3 linked regions of the Rattus norvegicus genome follow. The protein of the gene in region 3 interacts with the protein of the main gene of each other region in a biochemical or structural test. Links are inferred from orthologs where the notes say so. Each region holds a gene or a part of one and is shown on either strand. Other genes may lie near its edges.

Region 1 (3,651 bases), on a different chromosome or scaffold from region 3:
CCCCAACCTGGGTCTTACTAGGAGAAACCAGTGCCACTTCTGCCTTGGGCTGAGAAGGCTGGTGTGGCTATTGTCCCTCATAATAAAGTGGCTCTAGCAAGTTTAACCTATGACCTTTCCCAGCCATACCCACTCTTTCTCCTAGGAGCACAGAAGACTTTAGTACAGCAACTGCTGCTCTCTCTTCCATGCAAAAGGCTGGGGCTGGACTCACCGTGTGAGCATTGTTAATCTTCTTCACTTCCCACTGGCCTTCCCCTGTATAAGTCAGCAGCGAGATGGCACCATCTGAACTCCCACAGGCCAGGATCAGGCCATAGTCATGAGGGGCCCAGCAAACAGAGTTCACTGTGGAAAGGAGTACAGTGAGACGACTTCATTCTATATCTACTATTCTGCTACATTCTTAGAAAAAACACAGGGACTGCCAGCAGCCAGTTGACATTTGGCCAAATGACAAATTAACTCCTAACAGTATTTCCTAAGTCCGTCTTCACAAAGCAAGGAAGAGGGGCACCCTGAGATTCCAGGCTGAGCCTTAGAAAGCCGCACTGTACTTATAAACCTCTTTCTCCGGATTGGCTTTAGGTCTTGGCGACTGACCTTTGTTGGGGATAGACTAGTGAAAAAGCTAACAAATGTCTAAAGGGTGGACAGCAGCAAGAGAAGGGTCTGGGATGTGATCAGAACTAGGGCTTTTCTCACCCACAAGACCTTCCTACTCACCTGCCAACTCTACATACCTGAGGAGTCATGTCCTGAGTGCTCATGGGTCTTTTCCCAAGTGCCATTTTCCTCCTTCCAGATAATGACTTTCCGGTCATAGGAACAGGAAGCCAGGATATTGCCATACATGGGGTGAGCCCAGGCCACCTGCCACACTGGCCCCTCATGTCTGTAAGGGAGGGGGTTAAAGGCTACTCAGAGGTTCAGGGGACCCAAAGTACCAGTTCCCTCTGGAGAGACAACACAGTATTCCCACTATCTTAAGTTTTTGAGGCAGGGTCTCATGCTGTAGGTCAGGTTAGCATTGAGCTTGTAACCCTCCCAAATGCTAGGACAAAAGAATGTGCCACCACACTTAAATTTGGTTTGTGTTCTACTATGTTTGGAATGAGAACTCTGCATCTTGAAATGACTTACTAAGACATTAAATTGTCTCTGTCAAAACCAAGTAGCAAGTGGCAGGTCTAACAATCTGTAATTTCAAAGTCATAATGAGCACAAATGATATTCTTTTTTTTTTTTTTTTGGTTCTTTTTTTCGGAGCTGGGGACCGAACCCAGGGCCTTGCGCTTCCTAGGTAAGCGCTCTACCACTGAGCTAAATCCCCAGCCCCACAAATGATATTCTTAGACAGCTCCATGTAAGATGAAAATATGTCTGACTTTTCTTGGTGACAAAGTGAGTGACAAGTGGGAGTTTCCAGTCTACATCCAAAATAGAAAAAATGGTAAATTCAGAGTCATGTAAATAAATGTGATTGTTTTCCCTGTCCTAGTTTGCCAAACTTGTGACCCAGTTCACTCTAGCAGACCCAGGTACCCAGGTAAGGAATCCACACTATGTCTCAAAGAGATGTGATCATGAAAATGAGCCAAGACCCCAAAGGCTAGTGGGGGAGAAAGCAAACATCTTTTAAATAATCCTTGGCCATCTATCTGCCATGAGCAAACAGAACAAGATGTATAAAATTTGTCTTATGGGCCTAGTGAGATGGCCTAGTGGGTAAAAGCACCTGCTGTGTAAGCCTGAGTTCAATCCCCTGAACCCATGGAAAGGTAGAAGGAGAAAACTCCACAAAGTTGTCTTTTGACTGCCACATATGTGTCCCAAGTTCATCTCACGATCATACTTCCTAAATGACACTTGAGGTGAAATGCCTAAATGTGTGCAGGTTGGTACTGTAGTGTTCATTAATTCTGAACATGACAGTGGTTGCCCACATCAAAGATATATTGATGGGCCCTGGATAGAGTCAGGATTACCCCAGCTGGGGTTAAGCAGAGGAGGGCCAGGCCTCCTGGTGGTAGAACTGAGGATCATACTTGAATGTCTCTGTGCCCTTATCTACACCTCTGCTAAGGGCAGAGGCATCTGGGCTTTAAGCATCCTCACTGGTTAATGTACTCTGGGATTGCTCTGAATTTGTGCTTTCATCCTTCCTCCCAGGCCTGAGAATCTAGCTATCCCACGACCTTCTCCATGCTTGTTTACACTTACCCTCTGAGGTCTGCGATGAGGATCTGCCCTCCATTTCGCACATCAAAAATTTTGACAGACCTATCTGAGGAGCAGGTTGCTAGGCGGGTGCCATAATAGTCCATCTGCGCATCATGCTGCAAGGGAAGGACAGCTAGGGAAGCCTGCAGGACAGGTGCATAACCCCCACGCCAGGCCCCTACAGACTCAAATCAGATTTCAGGAATAGCCAGCTGCCACCTGCAGCAGCTAGAAACTTTCAACCAAAAGTGATGCATGGACCTTAACATTTCTTTGTCACCTTTCTACTCAAGATAAAGGATTCTTCTGGAAGGCCATCTTTCTACTGGGTCAGGCTTTGCTCTCCTGGTAAGTAGGCTTGTAGGTCCATTTAAAAACCCTTTTCAGCAGAGTGCTGTCATACTGGTAAGGAAGTATCTAAAAAGGAAATTCTATGTCCTTAGCTTATTTGTTGTACAAGCTTTGAAAAATTAGCTTATTTATTTAACCGTCAGTTTCCATATCTTAAGAAGGACTAAGGAGCTTCACGGGTCCTTGAAGGCATAATAAGGTACTGAATGGAAAGTACTTAGGGTCTGATGACAAGTTTAGAGAGCATAGAGATGTCTCTAACTACTATACTGCCTCATGTGATCCCCAGGAGGAAACCAAGGTGGGTCACTGGCAGAGGTGCTGAGACTGGATCTTCTTGCTCTTGGGTCCATGCCAGCTCCAGCCAGGTGGCCTCACAGCTAGACTACTCACCACCAAAACCAACAAGATGCACAGTTTGGTCCCAGAACCCCCAAACCAAGTGCCAGGGGTTAAGTGTGGAGGTCAGGGACTTAACAGGAAAGACTGAGGCCATTAAGCCTGGGCCCTGCTCAAAGGCTGCCTGCATTGTTTGGCTCCAGGAAGCAGGATGAGTTTCTCAGTTAGGGACTTCAACCTCTGGACCTTCCCTAGCAGTTCTACACTGTGCCCTGTGTTGGCCTATCAAGAAACGCCCTGAGAGCCCCAAGGGCCTGGTATGGACTACTCTCTGGGACAGAAGTGTACTGGCTTCTGCCCTACACTTTTACTGTGGCTGCTAGACTTCCTATTCTCCCTAAGTCCCTTTCAGTAGAGCTAAGAAATAGCCTTAGGAGAAAGACAAATGGGAAGATGGTTGTCAAACCTCTGCAGCCTTACTCTTAGAGCAGGCACTGTACTGGCCAAAGACTGAAGGGCCTGAACTGTACAACAGAGCCAGGTTCTCACAGCAAAGATAGGCCACTGTAAACACTGCCAACTCAGAGGTCATGTAGGAAAATGATTAACCCCCCAGAGGTTATGGCCTGCTGGGAGCTAATATAGTCAAAATGCTCACTGAGGGGAATGCCCATGACGAGGCCCGGGAAAAGGGCTGAATGGATACTTACAATCATGTCCTCATGAGAGGTATCCACA
Region 2 (3,651 bases), on a different chromosome or scaffold from region 3:
TGCATGAACTCAGTTCTTTTTTGGTTTGGTTTTTGAGACAGAGTCTTACTGTGCAGCCCTAGCCAGTCTAGAGCTCACAGTGTAGAAGAGAATGGTCTCAACTCACAAGTATCTTTCTGAATCTCTCTCTGGAGTGCTGGGATTAAAGGCCTGTGCCACAACACCTGGCATAAACTTAACTTAATTTTCTAAGTCTGCACTTAGCGCGCTCCACTTCACCTCAGTCTTATATGACAGGTGGGGAATGAGGACTGGACATAGGCGTCTGTGCCTGTAATCCCAGCATTCAGGAGGCTACGAAGGATCACACATTCTAGGCCAGTTTAGACCACACAGTGATACACTTATCTAAAACAAAACAAACAGCAGTAAGAATGTTTCAATTAAGTGGATACATGGTTGGAGGTTGAAGGGACAGATGGCTAGTTACCATGGTGACAACTGTAATCCTAGTGCTCAGAAGGCTGAAGCAAGAAGACAGAATTAGGACCAACTGGGATACAATTTAGGGCCAGCCTTGTCTATACAGTGTAGACCATCTGAAAAATTATATTTTAACTCCTATACATCAATTTAAAGTTTATTTACTTCTTTTTGAGACAGGTCTACCTATATAGCCCATGCTGTTTCTCCTTCTCAAGTAGAAGGTAAATTTTATTTTATTATTTTTTTGTTTGTTTTGTTTTTCTGAGAGAGTTTCTGTGTGAAGCCCTGGCTGTCTTAGAACTAGCTCTGAAGATGAGGCAGGTATCCAACTCACAGAGCTCTACCGGTCTCTGCCTCCTGAACTCTAGAATTAAAGCATGTACCACCACTGACTAGCATAAATTTTATTTTCAATAGGTATCTTAAGGCACACATAGAGGTGCATGCCTTTAATTCCAGCATTTCAGAAACAGAAGCAGGTGGATACCCTTGAGTTAGAGGACAACCTGAGCGGCAAGTTCCCAGATAACCAGTTACATAGTGAGACTCTGTTTCAAAAACAAACCAGGGAACTGGAGAGATGGTTCAACAGTTAAACACACTATTATTCTTGAAGATCTAGGTCCAGTTCCCAGCCCCCAGAATGCAGTCCACAACTGCTTGTAACTCCAGTTTGAGAAAATCCGATACCCTCTTCTGACCTTTGTGGTCATCAGAGGTCACCCATTTGAGTATAACACAGATACACATAAAAAGATAAATAATAAAAGTAAAAAGAAAATTTAAAAGATATTTTCCATGATTCAGACTTAAAGATACAAAAAGGTTTATAAGAAAAAGTCCTTAGTCTCACCATGAACAAAGACATCAAATGACAAGGTAAATAATCAGTATCTATGTAGACAATGAATATTATCAGCTTCTTGACAATTTTTACCATGTATGCATACACACATATATACATGTATGTATTAAGGAAATACCTATATTTTCCATTCTGCTTTGTTTGGTTCAGTTTAATTGCTTAATGTGAATGGGTGCTTTGCAAACATGTGTATCTGTATGATGCCCAGAAGAGGGCATTAAATTCCCTGGAAATGAAAATAATTGTGAACCACCAGTGGATGCTGGGACTCAAACACAGACCCTCCTGAAGAACAGTCCATGCTCTTAAGCCCTGAGCCACCTCTTCAGCCCCATCGGTTCATTTTAAGATGTAGTCTCATTTTACACACTAAATCGGCTCCAAATTCATACAATCCTCTGCTTCTTAAGTGCTGCGATTATTGGTGTCAGCCACCATACCTATTTCCATATTTTCCTATTTCCACCTTCCATATTTTCAAAAACAGAAAAAGTTTAAATGTTTCCTTTTACAAGACCCAAATACTCATATGTGGAGAGATTCTTATGCATTGCTTTTAACTATATCTGATCTTTCATGCTCAAAGATTCCAATGCCATGCTTCCAGACTGACCTCTGAAAGTCTCTTGATTAATTTTATGTCAATGAAAAACACTTCCAGGGCTACTGTGTCAGGAACAAGACACCTTTTATTGTCTATACCTTTCAACTGGAGAAGACAGGCTGCAGGGAGCAGTTCTTGAACATTCTCCACTGTCACATGTACTGTTTCTGTATACACGAAGTCCAACAGGATTTCCATTGTAGAAGCAGTTAAACCTTGAATGTCAACATATGGCTTCCCCTTCTCTGAAAGCTGAAAATTCATGAGGTAGGAAAGGATGGTACTTTAGATTCCACAAGGTAAAAGACAGAATCCAAGTCTAAGAGCTTAAAGGTATACTGGTACTAATTAAATACACATCTTTCAAAAACAACAACGTGGGGTTGGAGAGCTAGCTCAGTGGTTAAGAGTCCTGGCTGCTGGCTGGGCAGCGGTGGTGCACACTTTACTCTCAGTGTTTGGGAGGCAGAGACAGTGGATCTCTGAGTTCGAGGCCAGCCTGGTCTACAGAATGAGTTCCAGAATGGCCAGGGTTACAAAGAGAAACAAAAACAAAAGAGTACTAGTTCCTCTTCCAGAGGACCTAGGTTCAATTCCCAGCACCCATTGCAGCTCTCAATCATAACACCAGTTCCAGGGGTCAAGCCATTTTCTGACCACCACAAACACCAGGCTCACACATTTGAAACAGTCATACATGTAGGCAAGACACTTATAAGCATAAAATAATTTTATAAAAAGCTTAAAATTATAATAAATGTTATTTAATTTGTATCTAGCAGGTATGACATGTATGGGCAGTTGGCTGTATCCTTAGGAGTGAACAAGAGAATAGCAAAGTTTCTAGAGAATTAACCTGATTCCATATTAAAACCAACACAGATATTTTAGAAAACAAAATACGAAAGTTTCATGAACCACTGTACCCATGTGCCTTTATGATAAAACATTCTCTCTCTTCTTTCCTCTCCTACACACCTGATTATGCTATGTGGCTGACCTGGTTTCCAGGTTGTAGCCCAAGCTGTCCTTGAATTTATAGCCATCCTCTCACCCAGACTTCTGAGGGCTGGCATTACAGGCATTTGCTAAAACAGAAACAGTCAATGAAATGTCATGGAAATAGGACTCTGAGATTTACAGCTACAACCTCCTCCAGGACGACCACATTCCTCTCCCCTGCCCACCCTCAGACTACATCTGGATAGAAAGAGAACGTGGATATCACTGCAAGTGGCTCCTCAGCTAACACTGTTTGAGATGGGGGAGGGGGACTGCAGTGATCCAGAGCTGCTCTAGGCTATGCAGTGACATCAAACGTCAAAAAATGAGATCAAAAGCAAATGCAACAGCAAAACCTCAGCCCTAGGGCAGAGACAGGTAGATCCCATGACTCTCCTGCAAGCTCAGGGTTCAGTGAGAGACCTTGTCTCAAAAAGTAAGGTGGAGAGGAGGAGAAACGGTTAAGGAAGACATGTGATGTCGAGCTCTGGGCTCACCACACCCTCACATGGGTCAGCACACTCACACACATCCACATGTGCTCATCCACACAAACTCCTATTACAACTCTTATGTACTTCCAATGGCTTTGTCATACTTGCTTTCTCCATCAGCCAGAGGGTAACAAAAAAAAAAAAACGTTTTTTAAAAAAAAATCAATCCCCCTTTAATCCCTGCACACTGGGGTGGGTTTGGGGGTTGGGGGAAACCAGGACAAAGACAGAACTTGAGGACAGCCTGGCCTACAAAGGGA
Region 3 (3,493 bases):
ACTTCAAAACGGGGGAGCAAATGCTAACTATGACGTAAGACAAGTCAATCTTGAGTCAAAGCAGAACACTGAAGATACCCGTGCACGGAGAATGCAGGAATGGGTGCTGAAGGTGCGATTCTTAACAGTAGCAAATTACAGTTACGAAGTAGCAGCAACAGTTTTACGGCTGGGGGTCACGACTGAGGACCTATATTAAGGCTGCAGCGTTACAAGACGGAGAAGGACTGCACCACAGCAATAGGAGTAGGAGCCAGGGCCTGACACACGCCAAGAAGCGCTCCCCCAGACGACGGCCCCAGCCCAGCAGCCTGTTTTAAAGACTACAGGGCTGGTGAGACGGCTCAGAGGCAAAAGTGTTTGCTGCTAAACCTGCCTGGGAGCCGCGTGGAGGAAGGAGAGGCCGACCCTGCAGGTTGTCCCCTGGCTTCCACATGCAGGGGCAAGTCCACACCGACTCACGCAGAAACAAAGAAAATGCAGTGAAAACGTAAACCAATAAAGACTGAGGTATAAGATGGGATTACAACTTTAATCTGATCAACGTGAAGAAGGTAGGGAAGACATTAAAGAAATCTATTTTAGGTCTGTTTTATACACAGCCAGATGCAATTTTCCTAAAAAGTACACCAAAGTTTTAAAAACCACATTTTGTCAGAATCCCTCAGGAAACCACACTATGTGTAATCCAGGAAAGACACTATTTGCAGAATGGGAAAATCATAATGGGCGAGGGGATTAAAACAAAGGAAAGCACGGGCGGGGTGGGAGGGGGGGTTCAAGCAGTTCTAGGGGAGTTTGCCTGCAGAAATGTCAAAGCTCCTGGGTGGCGGGTGGCCATGGAAACATGCTAATGAGGGGCTGGTCCCAGTCTTAGCATGGCTTTCTTTGGAGAAGTGGCGGAGTCGGAGGTCATGGCAGCTGTCTCAGACGCCCAGCTTACTGGCCTGGCTGAGCACAACCTTGAGGACTGGCATGAAGGCTGAGGTCTCACTGAAGTTGCTGGTGCTGACGATGTGAGTGTGGACGGTCAACCCTTCAGAGTAGTTCCTCGTCTCAATGCTCCTCGCAATGCTGTGGAGACCGCTGATGATTGTTGGAGAAAGCTGAAAGAAAGGCAGGGGCAGGAGAGGGAGTTACAGTAGGGGTATCCCACAGTGCTCTGCAAGCATTAACCCAGAGATTTACGCAGAGCCTGAGACACTCTTTACAAATGCGTAACTAGTTAGCATTTTGGAATGTTTTAAACTAAACAAAGATTTTGGACCAAGTGAAACTTACACTTTAGTGTAGAAGCCTGGGGAGACGCCTTGTGTCACAAGTCCCTTATGAATTACCATACTGCACTGCAGAGCAGGTCTTTCCTTACTGATTTCCTCCTGCAAGCGGAACTGATAAACCTCTTTCCAATGGAGTGTCCCTTCTCCAGTTACTTTAGCCAGAGCCTTTAACATTTTCCTTGAGTCCGGGAAGCTTGTAGATCATGATAATGTTAAAAAAGCTGGGACCCCAGCTACTTGAAGCTTTTTCTACAGCAGATCCTGAACCTTCTGTCCTCTTCTGAGTTCAAGGCAATAGGCTCGGCAAACAGTGCAATTTACCAGCTCTTACCTAGTCTTCCTATCCGTTCTTCTGTGAGGATGGGGATGGAGTCTAGGGTGTCAATGTGCTAGACAAGAGCGCTAACCTGAGCCAATTCTGGACCCGAAATCGCTTTCTGTAAGTCTACCTTCTCTTCTGGCAAAAAAATTTGTTTTCCTTTTTTTCTTTGCAACTAGCCATTGCTGTGTTGCCCTGGCTGGATTCACTCCTGGATCTCAGCAAGAGCTGGGATCTCTGGCCCATGCTGCTACCCCTGACCATGTCCTCTCCCTCCCTGACATCTGGAATGCTGGGCCAGCCTTGAGCTATGTGGCTGACTCCCCTGCAGCTTGCACACTGGCTCACCTGGCACGGCAGCACTCAGAACAACCCATACTTTAGTACAAGACTCTCTTTTGGATCAGTCATAGACCACACCCTTCCTATGAGATCGCTTTCTTTGCATTGGGTCTCATGAGAAAAATGTTACTCTTATCAGATGAGCCTGAGTGTGGAGAACAGGATTATCTCAACTCTCAAAGGACAGCAGGTCAGTTCAAGAGGACCACAGTGATTCCTTGCTGTGACTTCTCTTCCCCGTCACAGACATTACCCTGACCATCTGGCAGCAACATTGGTTCTGCCTTTCTATATCAGCTGTTGTAGGCGAAAAGGATCAAGAGTCTTAGACTCCAGAGAGATGATAGATTCTTCTCTAGGAAACAGGGCGCCTGCCTTGTCCGGTTTCTGATACATGGCCATGTGAAAGGAGTACCAGGCCAATTACCCTGGGCCCGACAGAGTCCAGTTTGTACTTTTTTTTTTTTAAATTTTTTTTTAAGATTTATTTATTTGTAAGTACATTGTAGCTGTCTTCAGACCAGAAGAGGGCATCAGATCTCACTACAGATGGTTGTGAGCCACCATGTGGTTGCTGGGATTTGAACTCAGGACCTCTGGAAGAGCAGTCAGTGCTCTTAACCACTGAGCCATCTCTCCAGCCCCAGTTTGTACTTCTGATCTTTGCTACAGAAAGGGCTGATTTCCCTCATATGTTCTCCCTCCCACCCCACGCAATTTGGGAAAGACCATTCTGTGCCTCTCATGACAACTTTGTCACCCCACAGAGTGACAGTGTCGGTGAGTCACTTTATTAGCAACAAAGGATAATGGACGGTCATAGTCCACCTCCCCCCAAACTTACTGTCTGGTCCCTAAGTTTGTCGTACAGACACTCCAGGCGTTTGCTGGCGTCGTCCAGCTTCCTCTTGGTTTGCTGCGGGAGAGCAAAGAACAGGTGTCACACTCGAACCCTACACTTGGGATGCTGAAGGTCTTTGTTAACCAACACAGTGGAGGCAGCTATGACTCAGTAACGAAGGAGCACCACAAAGGGCTTAAAAATTTTTTTATTTTACTGTTGTAAGTATACACCTGTTTTGCCTGCGTGTCTGTGCACCACATGTGTGCAGTGCCTCCAGAGGTCAGAAGAGGGCGTCTGACCCCTGGGAACAGAGCTACAGACAGCTGTGAGCTGTCATGTAGGTGCTGGGAATGAAGCAATAGTAATGGTGCTGACTGCCCTCCAGCCCGGTTATATCTGTAGTTACACAGAATACGTACGGGGTCTGTAGCTGAGGAGAGGCAGCGCTGGATAAGGTCCTCAAACGTAGTCTTTAGAATGAGGTGCTCGTCTGGAATAGGCTTCTTGGTAATTTTTTCTGTTGGCAGAGCCTGCACATGCTAAAAGAAATAACGTGATATGGACAATGAGAAATGACCAGAAAGTGTCTTCTATACAAAGTTCTGATTCTATGTGAAGAGAGAGCCAACCGCCCTAGAGGCAGATCTGTTAAAAATAAAATGAAGGTTTGACATGTGAACTCAGGGCTCTGTGAAGAAATGGGTAAGA

Evidence for each region.
Region 1: the proteins of Sec31a (region 3) and Sec13 form a complex in vitro, tested with the Homo sapiens proteins (2 studies listed by BioGRID and IntAct, with this or other methods). The link is inferred for Rattus norvegicus from reciprocal best matches to the Homo sapiens genes SEC31A and SEC13.
Region 2: of the proteins of Sec31a (region 3) and Klhl12, one has a biochemical effect on the other in vitro, tested with the Homo sapiens proteins (3 studies listed by BioGRID, with this or other methods). The link is inferred for Rattus norvegicus from reciprocal best matches to the Homo sapiens genes SEC31A and KLHL12.

Annotation. Positions count from the first base shown.
Region 1 is NC_086022.1:148,440,230-148,443,880, forward strand, and holds part of Sec13 (protein SEC13 homolog), read right to left. Parts: coding exon 3,624-3,651; intron 2,340-3,623; coding exon 2,224-2,339; intron 896-2,223; coding exon 744-895; intron 349-743; coding exon 215-348; intron 1-214. UniProt on the Homo sapiens protein: Functions as a component of the nuclear pore complex (NPC) and the COPII coat. At the endoplasmic reticulum, SEC13 is involved in the biogenesis of COPII-coated vesicles.
Region 2 is NC_086031.1:48,458,156-48,461,806, reverse strand, and holds part of Klhl12 (kelch-like protein 12), read right to left. Parts: intron 2,984-3,651; exon of another isoform or gene 2,874-2,983; intron 2,148-2,873; coding exon 1,994-2,147; intron 1-1,993. UniProt on the Homo sapiens protein: Substrate-specific adapter of a BCR (BTB-CUL3-RBX1) E3 ubiquitin ligase complex that acts as a negative regulator of Wnt signaling pathway and ER-Golgi transport.
Region 3 is NC_086032.1:9,570,600-9,574,092, reverse strand, and holds the end of Sec31a (protein transport protein Sec31A), read right to left. Parts: intron 3,325-3,493; coding exon 3,205-3,324; intron 2,858-3,204; coding exon 2,786-2,857; coding exon of another isoform or gene 2,759-2,785; exon of another isoform or gene 1,107-2,758; coding exon 927-1,106; 3' UTR 515-926; downstream 1-514. UniProt on the Homo sapiens protein: Component of the coat protein complex II (COPII) which promotes the formation of transport vesicles from the endoplasmic reticulum (ER).